Caenorhabditis elegans: one gene and its partner. The protein of the gene in region 1 purifies or fractionates together with the protein of each later gene. This does not show direct contact. Each region holds a gene or a part of one and is shown on either strand. Other genes may lie near its edges.

Region 1 (7,140 bases):
TTGCGACAGGATCCGGCGGGAGACAAATTGACGTTAAAGAGCAAAGATTATAGATGTTTTGAAAGTAGATTTTAAAATATTCGTTTTGTAAACCGGTTCCAATTTTTGATTACAGGTTAATTAGTTCTGATTGTACTTGGGTGTGGTGACTTTTTAAACACATCTTTAATAAAATATTTTTTATATAAAAACTATTTTATTGCAACATCTGAACAACAATAAGTCATTCACATAATTTTTGCTGTTAGTGAACGTAGTAATATCGTGAAAATTATCAAAACTTCGATATTTGGTTTTAAAGTTTTTGAACATTCTTATTCTCAATTAAGTTTCTGAAATTAAGTTACCATTAAATTAAATTTGTTTGAAGTTTTTTCTTTTTTTTTCAAATTTTACTCGTCGGCAATTATGTAGTTTTTTTTTCAAAAACCATATATCCTGTTCGTAATTGTGACTATTTTGGTTATGAAAAAGAATGCTTAACAATAGGAGTATGTTTAGTAGTTTACTTTTTGAAAAACGATAGTTCTGCTCTAACCCGTATAAATATATATATATATATATTTATTTATTTATTTATTTATTTATTCAATCAAAAGAAGATAGCGCATGACATAGAGGTAACCAGTGAGAAGGATTGAGTAATAAAATGATCACATAAACCAGACATAGTTAGGGTTATCAAGTTGGGGGAAGAATTAACTCAAGGGGAATAGAATTAAGACGTGTCGAGAATGCTTGACGGCTGAGCGGTTTCAATAGATGTTGAGCCAGTCGGTTCCAGAGTGGCAGGTTCATTAGTAGAAAACTATTGTTGATTGGTACACAGGCACGCATCATGTATGGAAACCGTGGAGAGCGGGACTTCTCGTCGTTTGCCGCCAGCTTCCTACCCAAGGCTTCGCAACTTCTTACCCAAGTCTTGCCCAAAAAATAAAAACATTTATAAGGAGTTGCCAAGACTTGGGTAAACCTTGGGCAAGAGTTGGCGCCGCCTCAAAAATGAAAAAAGTCGTCGACTTGCCTCGTCGTCCCGAGCGTCGCCCAAGTCTTACCCAAGTCTTACCCAAGTTTTGCCTATTTCTTACCCAATTTATACCTGTGTGTTGAACTTTGATCTCATTTCCCGTTGTGCCGAAGTCTTACCTGCTGAGCCATGATGGTCGCGCAAAAAGATGCACACTAGTAATAATATATCGTACTCATATTCTGATAGATATTTTTGAGGAAGTACCAGACATATCTGATTGATACGGTATTCTCACATACCTTGTTTCAGTTGTTTTCAAGTGTGCTCCCTAATGATTCTAAGTTCAGAATTTAGAGAATTACTGTAATTCGTGTTTGTTTCATGTCTCTTAATTTTATAAAAGTTTACATTTCAAAGGAACAGTTCAGTCTTAGAAAAATTCAAAATTTGATGCATAGGATTGACTGACTATTATCTGACTATTGGACTGACTAGGAGAAGAATCTTCCTGAAGATAACTTTTCTTTTTATTTTTAGATAAATTATATGGTTTATTAGATAAAATGGCAATAAAAATCAGACTCTGTTCGTACATTTTCTTTAACAATGTTAGCCATCAAAGAAAAATATTTAGAATTTGCCTTTGAAGGGACAAGTTTTCCTGTGAATTCTTTCAATTACATTGAAATTCCTCTATTGTAAATACAAATTAATCAAAAGACAAAGTGTCGATTTACGCTAAACATTGCGCATGTGGAATTTCGGAATCTTGTTCGTTCTTTACATCTGCAAACTTGGGTAAGAAGTTGGCAAAACTTGGCTAAGGCTTGGGCAGAACTCGGGCGAGGGAGTTTACACTAGAATTGCTGAAGTTGGGTAAGACTTGGGCATACTCTGGGTTAGAAGTTGGCAAGAGTTGGGTAAGAAGCTGAAAAGGCCCAAACTTGGGGAAGAAGCTGTCGGGAATTGCCGAGGAATTCTTTAGTGCTGAGACATCCGGAAAATGGTATTCGCCAGATAAGATGTTGTGGTAGGTCCTTAATATTTGGAGAATTCGCTGGTGTTGAATGGATTTTTGATTTGACTGAGCCAGTCGATCATCGTACGACGTGTTTGAGACATTGCATCGTTGATACACTCTTCTTGAATAGAATTTCAGCGGCATTTCAAGTAGCTTTATCAGACGTTTGGAGTTAGGGTTGTAGACCTCACATCCGTAATTCAGCAGCGGTTGAACGTAAACGTTGTATAACTTAAAGTACAAACTGACATTGGTAAAGCGAAAGCATCGAAGAAGCTGTCTACACTTGAGGAAAGCAGAATTTGATACATATTCGATATGTTTTTGGAAGTTTAGCTTGCAATCCACGAAAATGTCTAGATCGTTGACTGAATACTTTTTAATTATTTGTATTCCATTCGCATGATAATCTGTTCTTGGGTTGCGCTTCCCGAGGTGTATGACATTGGTTTTGTTCTCGGCCAAGTTTAAGTTTCACTTTGCACACCAATCAGTGACGACATTGATCGCTTTTTGCATAGAGTCCGAATTTTCACCGAGTATCTTGATATCGTCGGCAAATGCGTATACAAAAACATCCGTGGGGAACAGTTCCAGTAGGTAATTAATGTAGACAAGGAATAAGAACGGTCCACTGACCGTATCGCAAGATTATTTTGTTGGAAATCTTCAATTAACACCTTTATTCCAAATAACTATTTTTGGCATTGAGAGTGTTACAAGTTTATTTCAAGATAAACAATTTATAAATGTTAGATGTAAAAATATTTTTGAAAACAAGAAAGAACAAACACTGAGGAATTTTATTTTGTCGTGTAATCATCGAAATGTTTTCAGTTATTTCGATAAATTAATAGATTCTGTTAAAAAAACATTTTTTTTATTAAATTTTTCTTTTTAAAACGTCTTCCCTAACCCTCATAGTTTTCTCATTGCATTTCGCAACTCTCCATTTAATGCCTGTGCCGGGGCCGTGGCGAGAACTATTTGCGCAAAGCGCTCTACTGTACGACACGTTGACCAATCAACTGCACACACACGACGCGCAACGTCACACTCCCGCCCTCTGTACACGCATTTGACTCAGTTTGGAATCGCTCCCCATTCTGTACGGTCTCACAGACAAACCAGTGAGATTAGTGGATCGTCATGGCTCTCATCAAGTTGCTCCTCGCATCTTTGGGTAAGTTTTTGTTTTAGAAAATGTGAAGTATTCTTCATTTGGTGTTTTTGATTAGGAAAAAAGAATTTTATACAAAACTAATATTAAATTAATTAAAATTTTGCAGCGATAACTTCGGTATGTGGAATGTACTCAAAAAAGGATGATGTCGTCGAGCTGACCGAGGCCAATTTCCAATCAAAGGTTATCAACTCTGATGATATTTGGATTGTTGAGTTCTATGCTCCATGGTGCGGTCACTGCAAGAGTCTGGTCCCAGAATACAAGAAAGCTGCTTCAGCACTCAAGGGAGTCGCCAAGGTTGGAGCCGTTGATATGACTCAACATCAATCCGTCGGAGGACCATACAATGTTCAAGGATTCCCAACTCTCAAGATCTTCGGAGCCGACAAGAAGAAGCCAACAGACTACAACGGTAAGCAATTATCCAATTTCTTCTTAATAATTTACAAGCGGAAATTTGGATTGGTTGTCGACAAACTTGCACAAAAATAACTGAAAAAGGACAATAGTCACAAGCCGGTACGGCAAACAAAAACTGATTTGTCTCATTTCCACCCTCTCCCCACTCGAACTATTTTCTGTGTGCACTGTCGGTCAGTCAATTGAGCTGGCCGCAACTAGTTGTGTGTTTAGTAACTGTTTGCTCAGATATTATGTTTGGCCGATCCGCTCTATAGATGTGGACGACCTTGCGGCAAAGTAATTGTGCGTACCAGTCTATAGGGTGGAAGATAGGAGAGACGCCGGCCTCTGAGCGATCTGGGTCATTTAGAGCGTGCGTGTGTCTGTGTATGTGTGTAAAAAGACCAAGATGATATTGATTTATTTTTGCAGGACAAAGAACTGCTCAGGCAATCGCTGACTCGGTTCTCGCTGAAGCCAAAAAGGCAGTCTCTGCTCGGCTTGGAGGAAAATCATCAGGAAGCAGCAGCAGTGGATCCGGATCTGGATCTGGAAAGCGTGGAGGAGGTGGATCTGGAAATGAAGTTGTTGAACTTACTGATGCCAACTTCGAGGATCTCGTTCTCAACAGCAAGGATATCTGGCTTGTCGAGTTCTTTGCCCCATGGTGCGGACACTGCAAAAGCCTTGAGCCACAATGGAAGGCCGCCGCTTCTGAACTCAAGGGCAAAGTTCGTCTCGGAGCTCTCGACGCCACTGTTCATACTGTCGTCGCCAACAAGTTCGCCATTCGTGGATTCCCAACCATCAAGTATTTCGCTCCAGGATCTGATGTTTCTGACGCTCAAGACTACGATGGAGGACGTCAATCTTCTGACATCGTTGCCTGGGCTTCAGCTCGTGCTCAAGAAAACATGCCAGCTCCAGAGGTCTTTGAAGGAATCAACCAACAAGTCGTAGAGGATGCATGCAAGGAGAAACAGCTTTGCATTTTTGCCTTCCTCCCACACATTCTTGACTGCCAATCGGAGTGCAGAAACAATTATTTGGCTATGCTCAAGGAGCAATCCGAGAAATTCAAGAAGAACCTTTGGGGGTATGTTTTATATAATTTTACAAAATTTCATTCTAATTTAAATAATTTCAGATGGATTTGGGTTGAAGGAGCCGCTCAGCCAGCTCTTGAGGAGTCCTTCGAAGTTGGAGGTTTTGGATATCCAGCCATGACTGCTTTGAACTTCCGCAAGAACAAGTACGCCGTGCTCAAGGGATCCTTCGGAAAAGATGGAATCCACGAGTTCCTCCGTGATCTCTCGTATGGAAAGGGACGCACTTCTTCCCTTCGAGGAGATGGATTCCCAAAGATTCAGAAGACTGAGAAGTGGGACGGAAAGGACGGAGCCCTTCCAGCTGAAGACGACATCGACTTGTCTGACATTGACCTCGATAAGACCGAGCTTTAAAATCATGAATTTTCTACATACATCGACACCAAAAACTTACTCTCACCATGCAATTTTGTTTTAATTGTAACGGGTGTTCTCACCAGATAACTCGTCTAACTGCGTTACATCCATACATGTTTTGTGACTTTAGCGATTTTTCTCGTATTTATTTATTTTTGTTCTCTGTTTTGTTAAATAAAGTATTTCAGGAAGCTATGGATTATTAAAAGTGAAAATCAAAAATCTTCGGTTGAAGGTTTTCAAATTCTTGATTTTCTTTTTCAATACGGAACTAAGGGTTGAGAAATATTTAATATCGATGTAAGATATATTTTTAATAACTTTCAGCTGCTAGAGCAACTTAATAATTCAAACGTTACCAATTCAATTACTCGGGCACAAAGGGATACAAAACCAAAGAAGCAGAAAACTTGTGCTGGTCAGATCAAATAAGTAAAATTTGGTGATTTTCACCACTATTAGTCAAGAAACAAAGTTATGAACTGATATGTTTAGATTGTTTTTTTTTCTGGTTTATGTTCACATTCAACCACACCATTTGTTCTGAGCTTTTTCAAGGTTACGTGCTCCTAGTTCATATTCATAATTCATATTCATTTTCATTTTCATATTCATATTCAAAAGAGTTGTTTGCGATTTTTTAAAATAAATTTCCGAAATGTTGATTGTTTCAGAATATTTTACAGATTCTTTTTCAAACAAGACGTTTTCAATAAATTCATGATTTACCAATTTTTTTAAACACACGACCAGTGTTTTGAATATTGGGATGCGCTTTTATTTTTAATATTTGATTTTTCAAGGAATTATATGTAGAAAAATACATTTTAAAGTTACAGAAACTTTAGAAAAATTTGTTTTGCTTCACACATTTTTATAACAATTGCTATATTCATTTTAAAAATAGTAGAAGACATTAATAGACTTATGAAAATGTTGATGAGTTTGTTTTTGTACTTTTAGATAATTATTAGAGGTCGCCTTAATGTGACAAATATTGAAATTTATCAAGCAATATCAAATTTCCAATTTAAAACAAGTTTGATTTAATCTGCAATGTTTGAGTTTGTTGTGCTGATTGAAAATAAAATTCCGAGCACAATAATTACTAGAAAAATAAGGTCACAATGGGAAAATAGAAACTCGTTAAAAACAGTTTTAAACTGTTTTCTTAAGCAAAGCTCTTCTATAGTTCTAAATTCAGAAAGCATTTGGATTTCTGGTCACCGAGTAACTGCATATTTGTTTTTTGTTTGTGGCACTTTCTGGAATTTTAATAATTCAGCTGAAAGTATAGACAGACGGATGTTTTCAAGATGTTCTTAGTTCCTTTTTCATTCCATTCGAATTCATGTACAACGAAACATCTCTCTTATCTCGAAACACTAACCTCATACTCTTGTTTGTGTAAATGGTTCTAAGCATCTAAAATGCACTAAAAACTGAAAAAGGGTACCTTAGCTGAACCATCTCATTTGACGACAAGTACATTTTTGTCATATTTCGTTTTCACACATATTTTCTTATCAATTTTTGAAAACCTGCTGATAGTCGCCAACCACTCAAAACAGTGTCGATGGTCGTGAACAATTCTCCGAAAATCGTTAAATGTGGAATTTATCGGTCAATGCCGACAAAGTTCTTTTGATGAAAATGTGGGCGGAGCGTCGGTACAACAGAGTTGAAGCTCTTTGTCGTTTTTTGGAGCTGAATTCGTTGAAATAATAATAATTAGGTCATGTTATCTTATGAAAATAATTCTGATAACGATGGCAGCTGTTTTAGTTTCAAGAGTGATGTGCTGTTGTGCTGTTGTGAAATTCAGCATGCTTTACAATTTCACAGTACTTACTTATTTTTTCGAGCTTCATAACACTTTCCTACTCTTGTTAACCGCTCATTGATATTTGTATTCTTATCCATGACCATTCTAAGTTTATTATTTTGAACTTGAACACGAGAAAGAACTATGCACTGTTGTGAAATTATGATTGTTTCGAAACTGAGCGAAAAAATACAAAAATTGTTTTTTATGACTTTATATTAGACTTGCTCAAAATTTCATAACTTATTTCGCTAGTAGAATATGAATACC
Region 2 (8,991 bases), on another chromosome or scaffold:
AGAAGAAGGTTTGAATGTATGCAGTGGACGCGCCGAGCGTCGATTGGCCAGAGAGGCAAAGTGAGGAGAAACACTATTGGAAATGGAGAGACGCAGACACTCTGCATGTCTGCCTGCATTGGAAACGGGCCATTGCGGCGGAGAGGACAAATGAATGGGAAAAGAGACAAGAAAAGAAGGAATAGTGGAAAATACAAGAAGACTACGGTAGATATAGACCATATCAGAGCTTCATTATGACTATTTGAATAAAGTATTTGAAGGAAATTTAATATAGCAAAAATATTTCAGCGCAACAACATTTAATGCTAGTTTAAGAAAAAAATGAATACTATACATAAATTTTATATTCTATAAAAATCTTCTTCGACTGCGACGAAATGAATGGTGCAGTCATTCGCTTCAAAATTGCATTTAAGCTGTGGTTTTTCGGCAGGGATTGAGAAAAACCGAGTTATATTTAAGAAATGCATTTTAAAATATTTTTTGAAGAAAAATGTCAATTTAAGAATATAGAAAAGAAGATCGAACATTGAGACTCGTCGGCGCCGAGTATTAAAAATCTGACGAAAATTACAGTACTACTCCGATTCGCTGCGGGACCCGTGCTTTATTTTCACGTATGGTCCTTTCGATTATTGACTTTTTGTATCTTGCAGCTGGAGCCTTATTAGCTTGCGTCCAAGTTTTATCAAAGTTTTATTCCATTTTATCTGTATTTTTGTTCTACTAATTAGTTTAAAGCATGTATGAATATTCTTTCAACCCAAATATCGATCATGAGCCCGGATCTGTAAGCTTAATATTGCTGATTCAAATCTAATTTTGCAATTTTCAGGTAGAATCTCAACAATCCACTATTTATTCGGATTCTGATGATTCTGATGACAGTTTTCTTGACGATGAAGTAATACCACCGAAGGAACAAGCTATGAGAAAAATTGAATTCGCTCTTGCAGATATTAAAAGGCAAATGGATAACAAAGAGAAATCGTTGACTTTGAGAATGTAATAAGTTCCTGTTGAAAATGTTTGAGTAATTTTGTTTTTTTTTTCAGATCGACTAGTAAATCACATTTTTGCCTTCGTTATACAGCAAAGAGGAAAGGAAAATTGGATAGAGATTTGCACTGTCTTCACCAAGTTTATGATTTGCTCGAAAATGACAAAAGATCAACGAAAAGAGAATTGTATTATGAACATAAAGCAGTTTATGGAAACCAGAAATATTTAGACAGTTCAATAAAATCAATTTGTGAGCTTTTGAATGAAAGTCGGGCTAATTTAAACATTGTCAGTGTGACATTAATAAACAAGAAATAATTTCCAAATTTCAGCTCTCTTGTGGACGCGGGATAATTCGTGGAGCAATTACTTTTTTAGTTGAGAATGTTGGTGTAATTGATGCGAGAGTTCAAGAAGTTTTGATCACAGGTAAGGTAATAAAAAACATTTAAAAATGATCAACGCTGGTGTTTCAGATGCACTGTTATTTTCGAATATAATATCAGAAGCCGATTTCATACTTGTTGTTGAGAAAGACACAACTTTTCAAAAATTAATGGATGAAAATTTTCAAGCAATGTTTCCACGTGGGATTCTAGCAACTTCGAAAGGATATCCGGATATTGCAACTCGAAATGTTCTGAAAATGTTGAGTGAAAAAAGAAAATTTCCAATATACGGACTGTTTGACGCTGATCCGCATGGTGAATTTTTAATAAAGGATTTAAAAAATAACTATATTAAAAATAGTAATACTTAAATTCAATTAAGGTATTGAAATCTACTTGACTTACAAATATGGACCTACGAAAGAATTTGCCGAAGGCCGAGGAGCCTTTGTTCCAACGATTGAATGGATCGGGTAAGACGATTTTATATTTATTTTCATAATTTCAACAAATTTCCAGTCTTTTCCCAACTGATTTTCATCGTTTCACCATCGATCAATCACAATGTCTTCCATTGGTTCGAACTGATTTTGTGAAAATTGAGAAGATGATTCCTCGATCGATTCAACTCGGAGAAATAGTGGTGACACGAGAATTAGACTGGATGATTCAGAATAAATTTAAAATGGAACTTGAATCAATAAATATGTGCGGACAGGAGTATATGGCTCGATTCTTGATTGCTCCGAGAGTCATGTCGATAGAAAAAGAAATTCCGATTCAACCAGAGACGATTATAAACGAGTACCACGAAGATTCACAATGTTCGCTGTCGACAGATGATGATCGGGAAGCAAAAGACGATGACTATATAGATTCGGATGCTGAAGAAAAGTTCCAGAATATGATAGATAATGATAGTGATTGAAAATAATATGAAACAGATTTTATTTTAGTTTCAAATGCAATATATTGCAATTACAACCACAAAAGGGGAAAGGAACCGTAAAGTGTTCGAGAAGTACTGAGACTGAGAAGTGGGGGGAGAAACAACATTAAATAAATAGAAAACAACACAAGTTATCTTATCTTATCACAATATCATCGAGTGCATAAAGCTAATGGAATGGGGAGATGTTTTACATTGTTTAGAGCTCAGAGTGCTCCTCCTCAATCGTTGTTTCTTCAGCGGCTTCTGGCTCTGGTTCAGCCTCTTCAATATGCTGTTCGGTTTCAACTTGAGCATCTTGGGAAACATCGAGCGATTGGCGAAGGACAGCTTCGATTCTATCAGCAAAACCAACTTGATCTTGAAGTGAGAATCCAGAACGAAGAGTGGCAGTTTCGAAGAGAAGCTTGGCAGTAGAAGCAGCGGTGGTATCTTCTTCAGAAGCAGTGACTCTCTTGAGAAGCTCCTTGATAACTGGATGGCGTGGGTTAATCTCGAATGTCTTTTTCTGAGTAGCATAGAAGTCTTGAGTTGGATCCTTTGCCTTAGCATAAGCTTGCGACTTCATAATGCGCTCCATGTTTCCAGACCATCCGTAGGAAGAGGCAACAAGGGCAGATGGTGATTTGACAAGACGTTGAGAAACAACTGCTTTCTCGATCAGATCCTTGAGTGCAGTTTCCTTGAGCCAGTCAGTAAGTGGCTTGAACTCCTCTTCAAGACCCTTGTGGGCTTCCTTGGCCTTCTCTCCATCATCGATGGTAACTCCTTCCTGAAAAATAGCATGTTGATAGGTAAAACATCATAGCCACTAAAGAAAAAAGCCTTCAATACTCACCTTAGCCACATTTTGGAACTTCTTTGATTCATATTCTGGCATAGCTTGAATACAGTACTCATCAACAGCTTCGGTGAGGAACAAAACTTCGTATCCCTTAGCGATGAGTCTCTCTACGAATGGAGAAGTTTCAACTTCCTTTCTGGAAGTTCCAGCCATGTAGTAAATGGCGTCTTGCTTTTCTTTCATTCTTTCGACATAGGCGGCAAGAGTAGTTGTTTTGTCAGCATCATTAGAAGACTGGAAGCGGAGAAGTTTAGCAAGACGCATACGGTTGGATGGATCCTCCATAACTCCCAACTTGATATTGGTAGAGAACTCGCTCCAGAAGTCATCGAATTGGGCTCCGTCGAGTTTCTTGAGCATGTCGAGCACTTTACGGACAAGTTTCTTCTTGATAACCTTGAGAAGTTTGTGCTGTTGGAGGTTTTCACGGGAGACATTGAGTGGGAGATCATCTGAATCAACGATACCGCGAATGAAGGAAAGATACTTTGGAAGCATATCGGCAAAATCGTCAGTGATGAAGACACGACGAACGTACAATTTGATGTTTTCGATAACTTTTCCGTAGTTCTGAAATAACATTATTAGTTGAAAATAACTAAACGCAATTAAAACAAATGCTATATAACTTTCAATATTCTTACCTGGAACATGTCATTTGGAGACTTCTTTGGAACGTAGAGGATAGATCTGAAGGAAACTTCTCCTTCAGCACTGAAATGCACGTGACTCAGTGGCTCTTCCGAATCCTTGGTGATACTCTTGTAGAATTGCTTGTATTCGTCTTCTTCGACCTGATTTGGTTTGCGCATCCAAATAGGTTTAACGTTGTTGACCTTCTCCCAATCCCAGGTGGTCTTCTCAACCTTCTTGGTTTTCTTTTCTTCCTTCTCTTCTTCAACAGCTCCGTCTTCAGTGGTGGCTGGTTCCTCTTCAACTGCTTCTTCCACCATTTCAGTTTTGGATTGCCAGAGGAAAATGTCAAAGTTGATGAATTGGGAATACTTGTGCACCAAGTTCTTGAGGGTATCTGGCTCCAAGAAATCTGCTGCCTCCTCCTTGAGGTACAATGTAATCTGAGTTCCGCGCTTCAATGTGTTTCCACGTGGGTCTTTGCTGATGGTGAAGCTAGCTGAATCAGATTCCCAAATGTACTGATCATCATCGTTGTTCTTGGTGGTTACGACAACACGGTCGGCAACAAGGAAGGCAGCGTAGAATCCGACTCCGAATTGTCCAATAAGATCTTGTTGCTGGTCAGAAGAAGTGGCAGTGTCCATAAGTTTGGATAAGAATTCTGAAGTTCCAGAGCGTGCAATAGTTCCCAAATTGTTGATCAAATCTTGACGAGTCATACCAACTCCTGTGTCGGTAATGTGAAGAAGGCGGTTTTCACGATCAGCCTTGATTTTAACAGACATCTCTTCAGTCTCACGGAGTTGCTCTGGATCGGTGAGGGAAAGAAGACGAATTTTGTCGAGAGCATCGGAAGCATTAGAAATAAGCTCACGGAGGAAAATCTCCTTATTTCTGTAGAGAGAGTTGATAATAAGTTTCATCATTCGGTTTACTTCGGCTTGGAATTCGTGTTTCTCGGCTTTTGAGCGGAGCTCCTTGATCTGGGAGACAGATAGTCCATCGAGCTTGATCGAATCTTCCTCTCTGAAAATATTATTTATCAATTTCAATTTTTTTTGTTAACTAGTTATATTTTTAAATTGTTTTAAACTGTATTGTGTTTTAATTGTACAGTTTTGATCTTTAATTTTCCAAAATTTTATCAGAAACCCTAGAAAATAATGCGTTCACTTCTAATCCGTGTATGGCATCCCTAATACTACACCTTCCATTAGCAGAAGATTAAATCTTGTGATTCGTATCTCCGTCCTTGACAGGCTATTACGTGAATCTAGGAAAGCATACGTTAAATTATCTAGGTCGGAGATAACCCTTTTAGTCTCTCTTGACCCTTCAGCCGATTTTTCTTATTTGAGAAAAAGGAAACACAAACAAGATAAGATAACCTAGCAGTAGATCGAGTCTGTTTGCATTCCGACAAAGGGCAAGACTCAATCAAATAGTGCTCCGCGGGAGTACAAAATAGTGTGCAAAACGGATGAGAGTCACCAAGTGGACTGACGCGACCTGGTACCGTTCAAAAGTTTTGGCTGAGGCCGGGGGTAGACAAATATTGAGATAGTTCAGAGTAACCAGGAAAAGGAACAGACACGTAGTGACAGGTCAATTTATTTGGAAAGTGGAAGAAAATGTGATTTATCTTTTTGGAACACTTAATCCAGCTAAAACTGTAACTATTCAATATTAAGAGCGAAAAACGAATTCGAAAGATATTTCTGATATATTAGATCTAATTAAAAATTAACAAGGTTATTGATTCTGATTTCGACATATTCACGAAATTGTTCAAAAAATGTACGAAACACAATTCAAAATTCTCTAGACTTTTTCAAATTGCAATTTTTCATAATAATCAAATTATCAAAAATTACCTTGTTTCTTCTTTGGTTTCCTTTGGTGCGTCTTCGATTTCATCTTCGGCGTAGACATTTGGAATGAAGGCTGAAAAGTGATGATTGTTGGGAATAAAAACGTGAATTCAAAAACTGCGTGGCGTGTATGCACAGAATGAAAAAATAAAGCCTAATGTTTTTATTCTGTGAACACAGTTTTAATATTTTCAGCGTACATTTAAGCTTAAAAATTTTTTTTACAATTTCAAAACTACGGTTTTCTATTTAAAGCTCACTAAGCTCTGAAAATCAATAAAAAGACATACCTGAAACAGCCAGAAGGGCGACGAAGCCCACCAAAAGGAATCTCATCGCCGTCTCTTCCTAACGACCGAGAATAAATGGAATGAGGTGTCTTTCCAACGGTCAATTACTCCCCTTTTCTCTCCGCTTGTTTGCTTTCTTTCGCCGGGGCTCACCCCTTCTCGACGTGTCCCTAAAAGTCCCGCCCCAATTTGCAAGTGCCGCACAGTGTCTGCGTCTCTTGCAAACACGTTGTCCTTCACTGAAAACTGCAAACTGCGGCGCGTTACTAGTTGCAAACAGAGGCGGAATCAGCCAATCAACGACCGAGACGACAGCTCAGAACACGTGGAGTGAGTGTCCTGGAACATTGTTTTTGTTTGCCGGATCCAGCAATATGGAATATGTTAATTTAAAAGACGATTTTTCAGTCTTTCTATTATAACAGTCACTCAAGTAATGTTCGGATCATCTAAATTAATCCTTATAGAAATTAATCATCTCACTTGTCTTGAGAATTTGTGAAATTTGTGATCGTTACTCAGCAAACTTACTTGTTTATCCGTCTCATAAACCGGTTTCTCATCTCAATCAGGCAATATACCTCCATTTCTTAATCTCAGTTTTTCCAGTTGGGAATTCAAACCTTTCGCGACATGGCTGAAGCAGCGACCGAAATCCCGCCGACGGCTAGCAATGTCACAGTTTTTACATTCGAAGAACAGGTGAGATTTTTACTGAAATTTTGTAAAATAAATGAAGTGGACAAGTATAAAATTACAACGAAGTTTTTATTAAATGTGATAAATAGCCATGCGAACTTTTTTAAATCAATTTTTCATTCAGGCTACAAGCTCGTTGGCGCTTTACGGAATGTCTATCCTCTGCATCATCATTGGATCGATTCGTTCAGCTCAATACATAAGGACGAATATTGACAAGAAGCGACTTATTGAAGGTTCGATCACTATGAGAGAAGCCAGGAAATTCCCTATTTCTGCTTCTCTGGTTCTCTTCGGTCTCTACCTCTTCTTCAAGCCTGCCGCCGAACGCTTCCTTTGGGTTGCCAGAGTCTTCCAAATTCTGCGAGTTCCCGAAGAATATGTCCAGAAGATCAATAGCACTATTATCAGCTATACCGCTAATACTACGACTACTGGGCCTTCCGAGCCATTCTTGCTCCGCTTGGCGTCAAGGATACCTCAAGAACGCGTTCCAGAAGCAATTCAAAATGCGGCTACATACGCTTATACCAACTTACCAACAATTCAAAAAGCAGAATGTATGCAACTCTTGACTTTCCTCATCTGTTTCGAAGGAGTCAACGCTTTCGCGTCTCTGTTGAAGCCATTTGTTACCGCGTTTCTCAAAAAGATGCCACTGGTTCCATCCTTCTTAAGATTCAATGCTCCGTACTTATTCTCTCTCAAAAAGGGAAATAAGGAAATGGAAGAGGGTGATATCGAAGATGCGAAGAAAAAGGAAACGGAATATCTTTTCAAAATTGACTTTGATCGTTACGATATCATCGCTTTATTGATGTGCTCTCCAATTCTCATTTCTCACCTGCTGAAAAGACACTGGATCACCAATAATATTATCGGAGTGAGCTTCTCAATCTTGGGAATCGAACGTCTTCATTTGGCCAGTTTCAAGGTAAATTTAACAATTATTAAAAAATATAGCAATATTTTTGTAATAAGACAAAAAAGCTACAATTACGCTTACTGAATGGAAGAATAATTTCAATTGACCAGATAGTAATAATATATTTTTGAACTAACTTGAAATATTTGGACAAAGTAAATAGTTCTCAATTTTGGCCTAAAGCTGTTTAAAAGAAACTTTTAAATATCAAACCGTTATTTGCAAAAATAGGTTTTAAAAAAATTTCATTGAAAAGACTAATTAATATCATTATTAATTTTTTTTACAGGCTGGATCCCTTCTTCTCGTTGGTCTCTTTTTCTATGACATCTTCTGGGTTTTCGGAACAGACGTGATGACATCTGTCGCAAAAGGAATTGATGCTCCGATTTTGCTCCAATTCCCTCAAGATATCTATCGAAATGGAATAATGGAAGCCAGTAAGCACAGTATGCTTGGGCTTGGAGACATTGTTATCCCTGGAATCTTCATTGCTCTCCTTCGTCGGTTCGACTACAGAGTTGTTCAAACGACTGCCGAGTCGAAGGCTCCACAAGGATCCTTGAAAGGACGATACTACTTCGTGGTTACTGTCGTCGCTTACATGGCTGGACTTTTCATCACTATGGCTGTTATGCATCACTTCAAGGCTGCTCAACCAGCTCTTCTCTATTTGGTGCCGTGTTGTCTTTTCGTACCCCTCCTTCTTGCTGTGATCCGTGGAGAACTTTCGGCTTTATGGAACTACGATGAATCAAGACATGTGGATAACGAAGAAAATCGAAAGAAAGTAGACTCCGGCAAGAAAAATAACTAAATGATTTAAAATAGTCTAAAGTATGCTATTCCTGCTTGTTATTCTGTTTTCGAAGAATACTTGAATTGGAAAACCTAACTTATCGTACTTTTGACTATTTCTAGATATTCTAGTCATTTAATTCAACTCGATTCCATGTCCCACCACATCCTAGCATAATCATTCTGATTCCTGTCCTTTCCATTGTTATCTTCCGTTTTCCCGGGTCTTTTTAGCTTTTCCAACCCCCTTACTGTCCTGTTTGAACCAAAAAAGGTATTTTGTTTTCATATTTATTTACATGTATTTAGTAACTTATTCTATAAATGCATTGAATTTATTTATACGTTCATCTTTTTTTAAATATATACAGACCACAATAACGAAGTAGCTATCAAATGTCATTCAGAAAATCAAAATATCCTGTTACATTATTAGCTAACATATCAACATAATAAGGTGAAAGAGTTTTGGGGATGACACCCGCGAAAGAGCAATATTTTTGAAAAGTGAAAAGAAATTGGTCGAAATGTGAAAGTTTTAGAGTGATGTACTTGTTACTTTGGACTGTCGTTTTTTATTTTTGT

What was found. The genes of interacting proteins can lie anywhere in the genome.
Region 2: the proteins of pdi-6 (region 1) and enpl-1 fractionate together in Caenorhabditis elegans (co-fractionation; one large-scale study listed by BioGRID). This does not show direct contact.

What each region holds. Positions count from the first base shown.
Region 1 is NC_003284.9:7,064,441-7,071,580, reverse strand, and holds pdi-6 (Protein disulfide-isomerase A6 homolog), read left to right. Parts: upstream 1-3,017; 5' UTR 3,018-3,140; coding exon 3,141-3,174; intron 3,175-3,280; coding exon 3,281-3,589; intron 3,590-3,671; exon of another isoform or gene 3,672-3,812; intron 3,813-4,011; coding exon 4,012-4,675; intron 4,676-4,726; coding exon 4,727-5,042; 3' UTR 5,043-5,239; downstream 5,240-7,140. Other genes in the region: B0403.6 (DUF5658 domain-containing protein), read left to right, coding at 1-53. UniProt on the Caenorhabditis elegans protein: May function as a chaperone that inhibits aggregation of misfolded proteins. May negatively regulate the unfolded protein response (UPR) through binding to UPR sensors.
Region 2 is NC_003282.8:11,116,490-11,125,480, reverse strand, and holds enpl-1 (Endoplasmin homolog), read right to left. Parts: upstream 6,184-8,991; 5' UTR 6,031-6,183; coding exon 5,985-6,030; intron 5,768-5,984; coding exon 5,698-5,767; intron 4,850-5,697; coding exon 3,832-4,849; intron 3,758-3,831; coding exon 3,182-3,757; intron 3,116-3,181; coding exon 2,543-3,115; 3' UTR 2,326-2,542; downstream 1-2,325. Other genes in the region: Meiotic recombination protein spo-11, read left to right, coding at 746-793, 839-1,008, 1,059-1,293, 1,338-1,434, 1,482-1,709, 1,777-1,867, 1,914-2,322; imp-2 (Intramembrane protease 2), read left to right, coding at 6,618-6,686, 6,808-7,617, 7,898-8,425; clc-9 (CLaudin-like in Caenorhabditis), read right to left, coding at 8,945-8,991. UniProt on the Caenorhabditis elegans protein: Molecular chaperone that functions in the processing and transport of secreted proteins.